Alligator mississippiensis: one gene and its partner. Each later gene encodes a partner of the first gene's protein in a complex. Links are inferred from orthologs where the notes say so. Each region holds a gene or a part of one and is shown in the gene's direction. Other genes may lie near its edges. The genes, in order: DIS3L and EXOSC10.

Region 1 (8,064 bases):
GAGGACATCAAAAGGTCAGGGAATACATGGGCAAGAAGGATGAAGAGAAGTTCTGGAGAAATTCCAAGGAGCAGGATGTAAGATTTCAGTTGCTGAAGCTGGACTGTAGTTTTGTACAGTTACTGTGAAAACATTGCTTCAGGGAAGAACTAAGGATTCTAGGGCTGGGGCAAATACCTCCCTGGTGGGTGTATCCAGGAAGGTAGCCCAATCTATGTTTATGAAATTACTTAATTTTGTAATATTTTTCTCCTATAAACCACAGGGAAGCACTGAGATGCCTTCCTTGTATCTCACGGCATCCCTAGCTTCTCTCCCTATAAGGACAGCCACAGGATGTCCTGCACTGGACTGTAAGCACAGCTGAGACTGTGATGTGTATGAGGTCATGAAAAAGGATTAACAGTTCTTTACATGTAGTGTAAGAGGCCCCAAAGAGTGATGGTATTAGAACTGTCCTCTTGCAGAGAGAGAACTGGACCGGAACCCAAAACACCTGGATTCTATTTCTGGCCCTACCATTAGTCCTGGTTCATTTTGGGTAATTCACTTAACCTCTCAGGGCCGTGGTTTCCCCATCTACAAAATGTGTTATGTGTAATAATGCTGACCTCCTGTGTAAAGTACTTTGAAATCTGCTGAAGAAAAGAGCTCTAAGAGCTAGGTATTACTGTTAAATCCCTCGCCTGAAAATCAGATAGCAGAGGGACAGGATTCTGGAGATTTTTCTTTGATCCTTGTGACCATTTACATTGATCTGACCTGAAGAATTCATTATGCATGTTGCTGCAGAGGCATATGTAAGAGTTCTTAGGTTAGGGATTTTGTTAAGCTTAATTTATAGCTCATTAACCAGGTAAACTACTATATTACTCTTAATAATTCAGGGATCAACAATTAGTGCTGAATAATAATAACCAGAGAATCATCAGTATATTAACACCAACTTAATGGTTTCTGTCCCTGTGCCTGACTTTGACCTATCTTATACGTGTCTACAAATGGTTTATCACTGGGATTCCCATACTTTTTCCTATCTAACTGTCCAAATATTTGTAACTTTCCCTGAGCATTTTCACTATAACAAGGTTATAGATAGGGATCTACTTAATATGTGGTTTGGCAGTTTTTGTGGAAACTGAAAAAAATGACATTGTCCACAATCGCCAGGAAATACTGCGTTGGCCGTGATTTCCCACAAATTAAACTTAACACCCCCCCCCGGCATATTATTCATGTAATACGCTGTTTTAGAATGTCCCAATGCTTACCACAATACAACGACAATGCAACAATCACTGCAGCCATGGATCATGATTGAGTTACTATTTGCTAGTGAGATAGATGAAGTGAAGGCGCCAGTCAGTGAAGTGAAGCTGTTTCTAGTAAGGTAACATTAATTAGTATTCTAAACTTTTTGTAGAACGCTACATATAATAAATCATGATGATATAAGTTACAATTTATATTGTATGTAAAATTTATATTTACAATATATTTAAATGTGTATTTAAATGTAATATTTAGATTTATAAAAATATGATAAATTCTATGATATAATTTACCTTCCACAGAATCGGCTATTAAATTATACAGTATCTACCTCTCTGCCAATCACTGGTGAGGGGTGGAGCCACTGGAAGATGTCTGTGAAATCAGCTCTTCATGCTATGATCAAGCCACAAAAATTGCTTTGTCTCACTGCAAGTAGACCCCTAGTTATAGAGGAAGATGAAAAAATGAATGAACTGAGCTGCATTCGATCAGGAGGGAAACTTGGACACTGAAGGACAATAAATGCACATTTTTTTAAATTCTACTCTGAATTGCAATTCATCATTAATTTGCATTTCTCTCCAGTGTTGATTATGAGATTAGCACTTTCCACTGCTAATAAAATACACTGTACAGAAAGCAAGCATAGCTGGGTTTGTTGTTAACATTTGTAGCAGAGTTGTACTTTGGGAAATAAAGAATTCCAGCTCATGGCATTTGTATCACCCCGCTCTTCTTTCAGTATGACTGTCCATCTGATAAGAAGCACTCGATCCACGTGCCCCCATAGGGTGACAATAATACGTGCTCATTTTCTAGAAAGGAAGAGAGGGATCATATAATTAGGGAGCTGGGCTTCTCTTTATTGTAAAAATATGGAAAATTTTCCTCCTTTAAATCTCTATCAATTACGCTATCTGACACCTCTTCCCCCGCACAGCTCCTTTGGGGGTTGGCAACCTGCAGTTTAGGAAAAGCGGCTCTATTGATATTTATGTTCTCTGCACCATATTGCCAACCCGGTGCACTCCATGAGACAACCCCCCTGCTCCCCCTTGTTCCCAACATCATGCTATTTCTCTGTAATTGATGGTGGGGGTTTGCTTTGTGATTTAAGTTCCAGGGGAAGGCCACTTGCCTCCAAAGCATGAGTGTAAATGACTCAATCCTTAGACTTAAAACACACAGTAGGAAAAAGTATCTTCCCCATCTACTCTACTTTTTCATCATACCCCAAGGAGTCCAGTCCTTTCCACTCTCCCTGCAGTTTCCATCCTGTTCCAAAATCTGCTCTGACCCTCGCTGTCTTCTTCTTTTCCCCGCATCACCCTGGCCCCAGCTCTGCTCCCCCTCTTCTTCCGTTGACCCCTTTCACTGGGGCTCCATGCGCTTCACAGTCCTTGTGTCCCAAGAGCGCTCTGTAAACAGAGTGGCCATCATTTTCCTTGCAGGCATGGCCTCACTCTCATGGGAAAGCAAGAACCAGCCGCCACCCTGGGCATAGCTTCTAGGAAAACAGTGGCCATCTCCTCTGCTTCCCTCCCTGACAGAAGCAGGAGATGACTGCCATTTGGAGTAGGGGACAACTCACCCGTTGGTATCCTTCGTATTTCCTTAAGACCCTTTTTTTGACTTAAGGCACCCCTTGGAAAATGCCAACCCTTCATTTTCATTTTTTTTTCTCTACAGAAAAATACTAGAGTGATTCTTCTGTTGCAAAGAGCTCGGAAAGACCGCAGCAGGGCAGAATGCTTTTAACACTATGGAGTCCTACATGAAATCTCTGCGTTTATCTTGCGAGTCATGTTTGCACACCCAACAGTGTGGTGCCCCATGGCACGCTTGAAAGGATCTCAAGGCACCCCAAAGGATGAGGCTGAAGTTGGTTGCTTATTCCCCATTCCTTATTCCCAGTTCCTTTTTTAAAGCGAATCTGTACCCAATACAAGCTTATTGTTAATGAATTACACATCCTAAAGAGAGAGAATTTAATGAGTAACCAACTTCAGCCTCATGGCTATGGGGCACTGCTAGTCGGCAGCGGCGCATGCACAAACTGTGCTTTGGGCTGGGCAAGACCCTGGCCACAGATGTCCAGAAGAGTCCCCCGGAGCCACAGAAACAGGGAGTGGGGTGGCCCAAAAAAGGATTTCCAATCATAATCTCAGCCCAAGCGCCAGGTCCTTATTCAAGCTGTTATACTTAGCCTGGGGGCTGTCAGTTGGCAGCCTGGCACGGCCAAACCGTAGGGTGGCCATCATCATTGGCGATGCGTAAGGGGTGCATGTGCATCCCCTGAGATTGGCAGTGCACCCCCTGCAAAAATGTCTATGAATCTATCGAATGTCTATGAAATCTATGGGGGCTGGACGTGATGACCCTCCGGGGTCCCTTCCAGCCTGAATGTCTATATGAAAAAGTGTCGTCAACATTGCCATCGAGCTCACCTTGCCCCCCCAGCCTCCGGGGGCACGTGGCATTCATGGCCGTCGTAGAGGACATTTCTGTTTTCTGCTATTGACACGAAACTCGACGCCTGTATGTCCTCTAGTTTTCTCTTCACCATGTGGGGTGGCCTCCTTTTTGGGCCACCCCACACCATGTCTCCCCACACCACGTCTCCGTGGCTTGCTTTCTGTACACCGTACAGGCAGTCCTCGGACTTGCAACACAATTGGTTCCTGTAAACCGTGTCTTAACATCGAAATGTTGCAACTCGGAACCAATCTTCTCATAAGAAACAATGTTATAAATGGGGGGTTGGTTCCTGAACCAAGGCCCGATACCCTGTTTTCACCAAAAATACCCCAGATTTTTGTACTTGATCAACTATAGATGAGTAATATAGCTACATGAATGTATTTATATTGTAAATAGCGATCACATTGATTTGGAAGGACTTCTTTGAGGTGACGTTTTGAAGGGCTCTCGGCTGGACTTTTTGAAGGACTCCTGGCTGGAGTCTTCTCAGACGTCCCGGCTGCAGGGTTTTCTGGCTTTCTTCGTCTGCTTTCTTAAAGAAAGCATCCCAGGAAGCGTGGACAGGTGTTCTCCAGGGAGACGCAGCCAACTTGTTGCATCAGATGAAACATCGTAAAGTTGAAACCGGGCGTCCATTTAAGTGCAAAACATTGTCAGGCGAGGACAGCCTGCATTTCATTTTTCTCTTCAAGAGACAAACTGAGGACATCGAGACGGCGGGTCTCGTATCCACAGAGGACAACCGGACCATCCTCCATGCCGTGCTTCGGGCTGGGCAGGACTCTTTGGGACGGGAAGCGTGGGGCAGGCGGAGAAGTCTTTGCCCCATCATCCCGTCTGCATCCGTCCCTCATGTAGGGCTCCGTACTTGAGGCCGGACATTATTTTCCACAGGAATTCGTCTATACGCCTAGCTAACGACATCCTCCCTCTTCAGGAGGTGCCATTCACGCTTTTAGTGGGTCCAGATGGTGTTGGAAAGAAGGACCCGCGGATGCACAACCGCAGGCCCGCAGGGCAATAGCAGCCTCCCCTCGCTGACAGGACGCGGCGCCGCCATTTTGAGCCGGGCACAACTCGCCCCTCGCTTCCACTTCTTTGTGGTTGTTTTGTTGTTTGTTTCTCCGTAGGAAAAATACCAGCGCCGCTGTCCCGAGGCGGCGAGTCCCGGCGCCGGAGCCGCAGCTCCGCCCCGGGCCTGGCCCGGCCCGCCCCGGCCGCCATGTCAGCCCCCCCCACGCCGGGCAGCGGGTGGAGCCGGCGCCATGCAGCGCGCTGAGAAGGTGGTGCAGCTGCGGGGGCCGCCGGGCCGGGCGGTGCGCGTCGTGCGGGAGCACTACCTGCGCCCCGACGTGCCCTGCCGCAGCGCCCTGTGCCGGGCCGCCTGCGCCCGCGGTGAGGGGGCGGCGCGCGGGGCCGGGCCGGGGCACCGTTAGGCCTCGGGGTGGTCTGTGGTGACGGGTGCCGCGCCACCGCCCCGTGGCGTTGGCAGCACGCGTGAAGCGCGTTGGCGACGCGGAGGGGTGCACACACGTGCAGGTGGACCCCGAGTGTGGGGGGGAAAGGTGCCGGCAGCCTATGCGGGTGGTCCAGGATCACGACACTGGCAGCGTCCGCGGGTGGTCCGCGATCGTGACACAGCTGGCAGCGTCTGTGGGCAGTCCGTGATCGCCAACACCGCCGGCAGCACCACCACCGACACCAAAGGGAAACCTGCCCCCGTGGTCCGTCAAAGTTGTTATATAACAACGGCGGAAAAAACGGTTATTTTCCTGTAGTCCAACAAAAGGTGAAAATGAAGAGCGGGCGGTTTCGGCGAGGTCCCAGCCCGTCCAGCGGAAGTCTGAAAGGGTCAGGCCCCGCTGCCATAGACGAAGCGTTTTGGCCACGGGGAAAAAAACCGGTTATTTTTCTGTAGTCAAGTAAAAAAAAAAGTGAAAATGAAGAGCGGGCGGTTTCGGAGGGGCCTCCAGCCTGTCCAGCAGAACAGGCCGCGCTGTCGCAGGTGAAGCGTTTTGGGAGGTGCTGTGAAACAACACAAACGCAGCAGCAGGAAATGTTCGGAGGGCCAAGAGAAGCGAGTGCGTAACAAAATGCCCTTCCGAAACAGGCTCTGCTGGTGTCGTGTGCCGCGCGTAACGCCTGCAGAGCCTCCGAGGCCTGAAGAAGGGCCTTTGTGCTGGAAAGCTTGCAAAGAACATTTTTCCACCTCTTTATATTGCACCTACCCAAAGACCCTTGTCTGCCCACGTCCTTAGACTGACACGGCGACAGCCAACAACCCTGCTTCCAAACCAGAAACGCGCACAAATAACCGAGGGCAGGGTTTAAAAAGAAAAAAACAGGAAAAGGAGAGACTTGGAAAGGGAAGGCGGTTGTTGCGAGGCTTTCCTGTAAATGGCTTGTGTGCATATAGGGACCACAATACGTTGTTAAAGGACTTTCTGAGTGTTATGTGGCAAGCCACTACATACTACACCCTGTTTAAAAGGATTTTTTTTTTTTTAAATATAAATTTTGGCAAGATTGTATCACGAGTTAAATCCTATAGATATCCATTAAGTATACTTGTAACGTGGCTGAGTGGTTAACATTGAAACTTTTTTGAATCTGCAGGAGCAGCAGTTTTTGTTCAGTAATTAAATTTAATTATCCGTATTATACCTGACAATCTTAGATGTGGGAAGACTGCCAGCTCCTGTGATTTCTAGTTTGATGTTGTTTTGTATAGCACAGTGCTATGATGTACACAATAGATTATCTTCAGTTGACCTTTTTTTAGTGTTTTTGTGTGTGGGGTGGGGGTTAATCCACTAATTTCTTTGCAGCAACATATTAACAATACTAGGTGATTAACATAGCAGATACAACAGGTTCAGGACAAAAAGAATAATGATTTTTCAGTTGAGTTTCTCACCCTGCCTATAAAAAGTGTTTTCTAAATTGTTTGCCTAGATCCACTACATTTCGGAACAAACCTCTTTTTTATATTTTTGGCCAGCTAATGAGATGGAGGCTCAGTAGATGCATATTTGTTGCCTAACATGTTGGGCAAGGTTATGCTTAGCATTCCCTGGGAAGCCTGGTGGCTGTAGAGATGTATGAGCAACTGCTTATGGACCCCCAGAGATTAAGAGTCACATTACAGTCTCAAAACCAAATGCTGTCCTCTCTCATGTCTGATTCCCTTCCTCCTGACTTCAGCGTAAATTGTGCTATAGATCAATGTCAGTATGTGCCTGTATGTAATTGTTCTAGGTAATTCAGGAGGAAGGCAGACATTTGTTTTTGTTCCTGACTCAACATGCTGTGCTGAGCAAACATATTTCATGCACTAGGAGAGCTTGTCTGCATAAATCATGCATACAGATATTTTTAAATGGCATCCTGTGCCTACTCAGAAGTTAGTGTAATCTAGGTCTGGATGTTAGGTAAGGATGGCTTAACATGCACAGCCTATATAAACCTTGAAGTGACATTTCACTTTTCAGAGAATTTGCCTTCCAATCTGTTGCTGAAAGATTAGCTTTATTATATCTCTTCGGCCATCAGTTTTAATACCGAGTTCAACGGTAGTTGTTGCCATGTCACTGTAAGCAGGACTGGCCTCAGTGACTAAATAACTTACAAGGATCACTGTTAACAAGACACATTGCATTGAATTGGTTCCTAGGAAACCTATGAAAGTCACTTAACTTGTCAAGATATGTATAGCATAAATATAATCCACCTAGACTGCTGTGCGTGTAATGATTAAATGCTAATAATGGCATTAGGAACAAATGGATACAGAGGAAAAACATAGCTGAGACCCAAAGAAAAAGCTGCTTATGCTGAGGTTACTTGGAATGCCAATAAAATTAAAACAATTCATGCTTGGGTACATTTTCTGATTTCTGCTCTGTTTTTTCCAACATTTTAGATGGTTAAGTCCAGCCGAATACATGTGACACCTTCCTTTAGGATGAATTAGATTTGAAAACTTTCCCATTTTGGCAAAGTGTTTTTTTTCCAAATGTGTATGCTTATGTGCATGTTATTAATATGGGGAAAGGGCTCTAGGCAAGCCTGCCAGCAGCAAGTGGGTTATTGGCTGGTAACAACATCTGTGGGAGCAATTCCTGGAAAGAATACGCCCCATTGCATAAATCCATAGGAGATTTTGTGTCAAATCTTTTTTTCAATTTTTTTCCACAATAGCAGAGAAAATGATCTATTGTCTGCACGCTAAGTGTTATAATGAAATCAGACCTTTGTTCCCTTTCAGTTATTTTTATAATATTATGTCAGTATAGAAGCCCTCAATCC
Region 2 (7,150 bases), on another chromosome or scaffold:
TGGTTCTCTGTCAGCATGAATAAAAAATGTAACAAGCTTTGGGTTTTTATTCAATTCAGCAGAAACATTATCCTTGTTTTCTGGCTTATGTCAGCTATTAAGAAGAAAGGGGAGAGTAACTTTTTGGTCATTATTGTGGAAATTGAGTCTAAACCTTTTTTTTGCTTCTGTCTTCTAGTAGGGGATGGTTTAGTGAAACCCGAGGCTCTAAATAAGAAGGCCATTCAGATCATTAACAGGGTTCGAGATAAACTCACAGGTAGGTATATGCTTTATTTTAAAAATCATTTAAAAATACGAACAGGAGATGGATGTGTGCCTGCCCAGTACCACTTTTAGTATTTCTGTTTTGTGTTAGTCTTAATTTCATTTCAAATTATCCAGTTTCTTAATTGGACAGAGCTACACTTCTGCTTTGCCTCCTCGGCAGCCCTGTGCATCTGGACCAGCCTGAAAAAAGTTGATCTTTTTTGGAGAATTTAAAGAGAATTGTAACTAAACTAGATGAGATTAGACACTTTTGGGTGGTGACTCTGAAAATAACTCTCAGCAGTGGGTTCTTCTCTAGTAGTTGTGCAGCTTGCAAAATTGAGATTCTTTATTTAAGACGCACCCAACCGAGTGGGAGAAGGCTTCCTTCTTCTAGGGATTTTTGCTGAGCCACCTGGTAAACAGTTACTTTTGCCTGCTATTAGGAGGAAAATGGGTAGAGTGGAAGCAGCTGCTGCATTGTGGAAAACACTGGTGTCCCCAGAGATTTTACTGTGGCTTTTGAGTTTTCTGCATCTTTAAACAGTTCTGCACCATAAATATTATCAGAGGAGGAGAGAAAATTCACCTTCACATTGCTGCCCTACCTACCACCCAAAAGTCAAGCGAGGTAATTTGCCATGCAGTCTCTCTCTTATGTGTTTCCCTTTAATTTTAAAGGTCGAGACTTCTCTCATGATGAAACTCTGGATGTAGCCACACAAGTAGAGCTGCTCATTAAACAAGCTACTTCCCATGAGAATCTCTGCCAGTGCTACATTGGATGGTGAGTTTGTTGTTATGCCAGCCTGGCAAAAAAAAAATCCCCTCTCAGTTCTCCAGAACAAATGCTTGTTGTGGGGATGTTGAATGGGGATTAAGGAAGTTAAATATCGTTAGTCTTATTGGCCATTGTGTGAAGATGGCCAAGTAGATATTGTGCCTAGTTTAGCAAACTTTTTTGTGACTGTTTTGCAAGGATACCTTAAGCCCTGTCCTATAAGAAAGCAATCTGTTAGAGATGGAAGAGCGATTAAGGACATTTAAGTCGCAATCAGATTGAAGGTTTTAGACTTGTGAAATTAGATGTTCCGATCCTGCAGATACCAGTTGCTGAGTATGGTTGGAAAATTGTGCACTTTGTAGTCAATATGGAACCTGTATGCCTCCATCCTCTTAGTTGTTCCTTCACTTTTGGTTGTGTTCAAGGATGTTAGACCTTTAGTCTGATAATGGGGAATGAGCATTAGGATCATACTGGGTTTTTCCTTGATTACAGAAAGGTTTCTGGACAGTATAATCAGTGCTTCTCAACATTTGTCTTTGCTTTTATGAAGCTGTAGGGAAGACCACCCTTCTTAAATCACTTCTGTTGTCTCCTTTAGGTGTCCTTTCTGGTAACAGAAGATTCTAAAGTATCCACAGCCTTTATTGGAGGCTTTTGCACTCCAAATGTATTCTTCTACAAGCTGAAAAGCTTGGACTGAAATCCAGCTTTTATCAAATATTTTGAAATGTAAATGAAAAGAGTTATTGTATATTAAAAGTTGGTTTAAACCAATTTATAGCTGCTGTTAAAGAACATGAATTGTCCAAAACAGAAGACTTGATTTGGGTTTCCAGAACGGTGAAGACTCAACTAGACCATAAATATATGGTTTGTTTGGTCTTTGGGAATTGGGGATCCATTGAAAATAATGAAATACGGGTTTGAACTTAACTTACAGTGTAACTAACCTAAAATAATTTGCAAATGAATTATTGCCCTGGTCAATCTTTTGGCTGCAGCTGCAGTGAACTCGTACTCATGCACGAGGGCTTGTTAGGGTTTGGGAACAAGTTGGGGTGCCGGAGAGCAAGAGACAGAATTTTCTCTGTACCTTGCATTATCTCGTGTGTTCTGAAACTGCTCCCACCCAGAAATCAATGAGGGATAAAGTTTGGCTGAGACTTCAGTGGTAACTCAACAAGCATATTTCATTCTAGATTGAGTAATAGGGGTAGATCCAGTCATAGTGTCTTAAGAAGGGTTGACCTGTGGCAAAAGGAAAGCAGGGTAGAATCAAAAGACCACTTGGGAGTTTCCCACACTAGCAGACAATAGAACAGTATTGGGAAGTAATTAAGAAAAACTGACTGCTTGGCATAAAAAGCAGTAAGGGAGAAGAACTGATCATGCTTGGAAATGGAGAAAAATGTAAGGGTGAAAAAAAGTAACAATTTATGAATAAAACAAATATTAAAATGCACAAGATACAAAGTGTAGCCATGTTTAGATGCCATGTTGTATTTGAATATTTTTGTGCCAATAAATTACACTCAAAATCTACAAAAACAGTTTTGACGGAGTTTTTATTTATACCAAAGGATTACTTAGGAAGTATAAAGGTGAGGCAAGAAAGCATCGTACTAGAATACCCTGGAGGGCATAAACTGTTCATAGAGGATTAGGTGCGTCTAAAATGTGTCTTGTGTATTTGATTCTTGTATGCTTGTCCTCATAATTAGCAATTACCTTGCTCTGAATAGTAGTGGAGACAAAATAGTCAAGACTCAGGGACATCAGTCATGTGCATCAAAGCTTACCTGTTTAGAAATCTTCTGGTTTATATCCAGCTGATTGTAATTATTTCCCTGACTGGACTGTGTTTAAGTAGACTTTCATTAGTTGTGATTTTTAGGTCCTCTTCTCTAAACACAAATTATCGTCTCTGCAGGACACAGCTAGAACTCTCATGTGATCTTTGTGTTGAATGTGGTTGCAAAGGAACGAAAGGTGTAGGTGTTGGACTCTGTAGCAATTTCTTCTTTACTGACACAAAATCAAAGTGATATAGTTTGGTGAGGATCACCTTGTCTGACCCCCTTGCAAATAACACAGGCTCTTGAAATTTATGGGGGTACTCCATTTGATGTCAGTTTAAAATAATTCCAGCGTGACAGCTTGATAACACAAATGGCAAGTTCCTGGTCGTTTAGATTCATTTTTCTCTCTGCCGTTGCCGCTTTGGAATAATCCTAACATGAGAAACTGGGCCAGGAGTGACATTGCTTAAGATTTGAATGGTTGTCTCCACCTGCTGGCAAAATGAAGCTGGTGACTCAAGTCTTTGAACAAGCATAGAGCCCGCACGGTGCAACGTGAGCTTGGAAGATGAGTGACCTTGGATGTCTCAAAAGATGCTGTCATCTAACTACATTCATCCTGCAGTCAAATTTTTGGGGGGAAAGTGATATCTTTTATTAGACCAACTAAACAGAAAACGTGTGCTTTGCAAGCTTTTGGGCACAAACATCCTTCAGGCATAGGGGGAGTCTGGTGTCTCCTGGCTGGAATAGAAACCAATATGTAAAATGCAGGTCTGTGAAAATGCAAACGCCAGGCAGCAAGGCTCAGAGGCCACGAGAGTGAGGCAGGTAGGAGTGGAAGGGGAAGATGCTGACCTGGTGATAAGCTGTAGCTGGTAAAATGCAGAGAGGTTACCTGGGCTTATAGGATGGCAGGCAGGTTGTAATGTGCCATAAATCCAGTGTCTATGTTTAGTCCATGATTTTTTATATCCAGTAATTGATGAAGTTCATTGGCTCATCTAGGAAAGGTGTTTTGTAACTCCCCTTTGAGGATTGTAAGTGAGATTGGAGAGCGATTGTCCTGGGAGAAGCCTGCACCTAGTTCTCAGCACCACGTTCATCCTGGGCTTTCTGAGACCCCGGGAACAACGGGCTGGAGCACTGCAGGGAGCAGGCAGCCCTGAAGGCGCTCCTAGGCCGGACTAGGAGAGCTGTGCCGAGCAGGCCTGCGCTGGGCGGCGCAGGAGGCTGCGCCCTGGAGCGCGGGAACTACGAGCGGGAGGCGTGGTCTGAGCTCGCCCCGCCCATTGTGCGTCTAGCCCTAGCAAGCCCGGAGGAACCAAGAGCAGCGACTTCCTCTCCCAAGATGCGCATGCGCCAGCCAGGATGGCGGCTCCGGTCTCGCGAGAGCACTCTACCACCGCGCGACTCTACGTCCAAGATGGCCGCTACCGCTGGGGGTGGAGGCGGCGGCAGCGCAGCGAAAAAGAGCAAGATGACGACCAAGAGCAGCGGCGGCGCAGCCGGGGAGGCCGCGGAGCCGCCGGAAGGCGGCGGGGATGCGGTGCTGCCTGGTTTCCGGGACGCCGACTCCTTCGCCAAGGTACGTGAGCGAGCAGCCCCGAGCCCCCCCTCTCCCAGGATGCAGCGCATGGGGCCCCGGGCGCGGGGTATGCTGGGAGGCGTAGTCCCTTCCTGCGTCTCCCGTCACTTAAGCTTCCTGGAGAGGCACGTCGACGCTCCACTTCCCAGCATGCCGTGTGCCTCCTGTACGGCGGCCGGCGGGGCCCGCGCGCAGCGGTGCATGTTGGGTGGTGTAGTTTTTTCCGGGGCCGCGTGGCGGAGCAACACAGACCCCCCCACGCGGGCAGCACCGGCTTCGCTCCTGCTGGAGACTGAGACAGCCTGGCCCTGATGTGTCTGTTACAACCTCCCTTCCCATCTCGAGCGCCCCGGGGTCCTTGCCAGGTGGTCGGGGGGCCCAGGCAGTGGTTATGGGGTGCACATGGGGCCGTGCGTACAACACAACGCGCACTCCTCATAGACGCACGGAGGAGCAGGGACTTTTGGGGGTCATTGAGTCACACCCCCTGCCTGAGGGAGGTTCATCCCTGTGCAAACCATGCCATACAAACCGTCATCTAACGCTATAAGACTGCCGCCAGCCCCGACGTGACAGACCTAGCTCTAACCTGCCGCAGGTGATGCCAGGGAAGCACAGCCGCCAACATGCTGCTTCTGTCAAATGTTGTCGGTATAGACCTTTTTCTCCAGGGAAAAAGAAACTAGAAGCTTTATCCATGTGACGGGGACAGATTATTCAGTTTAAGCCTGAACTGAAATAAAACATAACTTCATGGAAATGAATTCAAGGCAGTCTGCAGGGCTGTGAACTGGAGCTTCGTTACCAGGGACAGCTGAGAGAGAGCAGCGTGGATTGGTGGGACTTCAAGACCGTTAAGGGTTGTTAACATTCGGGGAAGGAAAAGTTGAGAAGGTAGATGATGAGAACAAGCCATGAAATCAAGCGACTCCCTCAGCTCTGCCTCGGTAGAAATGCTGCTGTAGGTGGTTGGTTTTAAACTTTGGGTGGAGCAGGAATCAAAGGAGGGTGCAGCTACCCAGTACATCCCACCCGCCCTAATCAACCCCATGGCCTGTAAACACGATTCACAAGCTAAACCCAAAGATTTCAAATAGGAATCTAGTGGTTAAAAGTAATTTGACTTATTCTGGTCTTTCCGAGTTCTCTGCAGCAGAAGAATCGGTCTGTTATTTTTCTGCGATCAGAAAACGAGTGAAAACAAAGAGCTGGCATTGTCCAAGGGGTTTCTCCAGTATATCGAGGGATACCTCAAGTCCAATAAGGTCGAGAAGCCCTGCATTAAAAGAAGAAAATGATTGTGTTGACTTCATAAGCTCTTTTTTGATCTTTTATTTCTTGCCAGTTTAATTCCAAACTTGACTTTTGGCTCCACCATGCTCTCCCCTAGTTTTAGGTTTCTTTTTTGATTACACGAAACCAGGGTGTCACAAGTTTCTGTATTGAAAGTCCTGCTTCAGCTTCAAGTTGTAATGCAGTGCAAAGTATAGGAGCACTGAGTGCTCATCTGACGGTGTCCTGGAAGAAAGGAAGGACAATGTGGGATGATGTTAATGTTGTGTCTCTAACAGTATGCCCTCGGCACAGTGGTGGCTGCTACCAAGGCATCTAATGGGCTCCCTCAGCCGGGAGACGAGTACGACTTCTACCGAAGCTTTCCTGGGTTCCGAGCCTACTGTGAAACGCAAGGAGACAGGCTGCTTCACTGGTGAGGGGTTTTACTTGTGCCAGCGCTGAGATCTGTTGGTTCAAATCCAGATGCAAAGACAGAGAATCTTTTTCTTTGGGAGTTCCAGAATAATTTGAGAGAGGATTTTATTGCAAGTATTTTAACTGCTTTCTTAAAAAAATATTTAAGCTGTTTTTCCAGCATATTACAATTTAATGGCAACATCACCATTTCCCTGTGAGGATTTGGATGAGGAACTGTCAGAGAGGGTAGAAACAAAAATATAAACAGATGGCTTGCTTTGAATTCCTCAGACTCAGTGAAAATTAATTGCAGTTAATAGCCAAGCAATGCTTGGAGTAAACATTCATTTTATGTTCGGGTTTCAGGTGTCTGAAGGTAGTATATCTGATATTGCAAACTGCAGAGAAGCCAATGCTTGGGAGGAATCTTAGTAAATGTTCTGGTTTTATATAACTGCTGCTAATGTGATCTAGCAAGTAGCGTTCAGTGCACTGGTCTCTTGTCAGCATGAGCAGAGTGATGCAGTACCACGGCTGTCGCAGTCACATCAAGGATCGCAGCAAAGTGACAGAGCTGGAAGACAAATTTGATTTGTTGGTCGACTCCAACGATGCAATTCTTGAACGAGTGGTGAGTAAACCTGCCTTGTCGCTTTGTCTGGTCCCTGTTCAGCAGTCAAAGGGGAGGCTTTCTACAAGAATTTTAGTCACAGTCTTGCTCTGATATCTGAATCCTGTTTCATTTTTACAGTGTCACTAGCTGTTTGCCCTGGCATTATTCCTTCACCATCTTTAGTTAAAAAACATTCCAGCCCAACAGAGGACTGTTTTACTCAGATGTCTGTTTCTATCATTCAGATCATGGCTACAGGATGGAACTTATACAGTAAGGGCAAAATGGGTATTTGTATTGGGGTAACACCTAAAGGCTCCAACTGACACGGGGACCTCTTTGTGTTGGTGCTGTACTTGCATGTGGTAAAAGAAAGTCCCTGACCGGAAGAGCTTTCAGTCCAATATTCACAGCAGACAGGC

What was found.
Region 2: DIS3L (region 1) and EXOSC10 share a complex: the UniProt entries of both Homo sapiens proteins name them as parts of the RNA exosome complex. The link is inferred for Alligator mississippiensis from reciprocal best matches to the Homo sapiens genes DIS3L and EXOSC10.

What each region holds. Positions count from the first base shown.
Region 1 is NC_081834.1:5,034,249-5,042,312, reverse strand, and holds the start of DIS3L (DIS3-like exonuclease 1), read left to right. Parts: upstream 1-4,950; 5' UTR 4,951-5,021; coding exon 5,022-5,151; intron 5,152-8,064. UniProt on the Homo sapiens protein: Catalytic component of the RNA exosome complex which has 3'->5' exoribonuclease activity and participates in a multitude of cellular RNA processing and degradation events.
Region 2 is NC_081836.1:11,947,836-11,954,985, reverse strand, and holds the start of EXOSC10 (exosome component 10), read left to right. Parts: upstream 1-3,965; 5' UTR 3,966-4,186; coding exon 4,187-4,423; intron 4,424-5,994; coding exon 5,995-6,131; intron 6,132-6,622; coding exon 6,623-6,746; intron 6,747-7,150. Other genes in the region: serine/threonine-protein kinase mTOR, read left to right, coding at 179-259, 931-1,036, 1,635-1,650. UniProt on the Homo sapiens protein: Catalytic component of the RNA exosome complex which has 3'->5' exoribonuclease activity and participates in a multitude of cellular RNA processing and degradation events.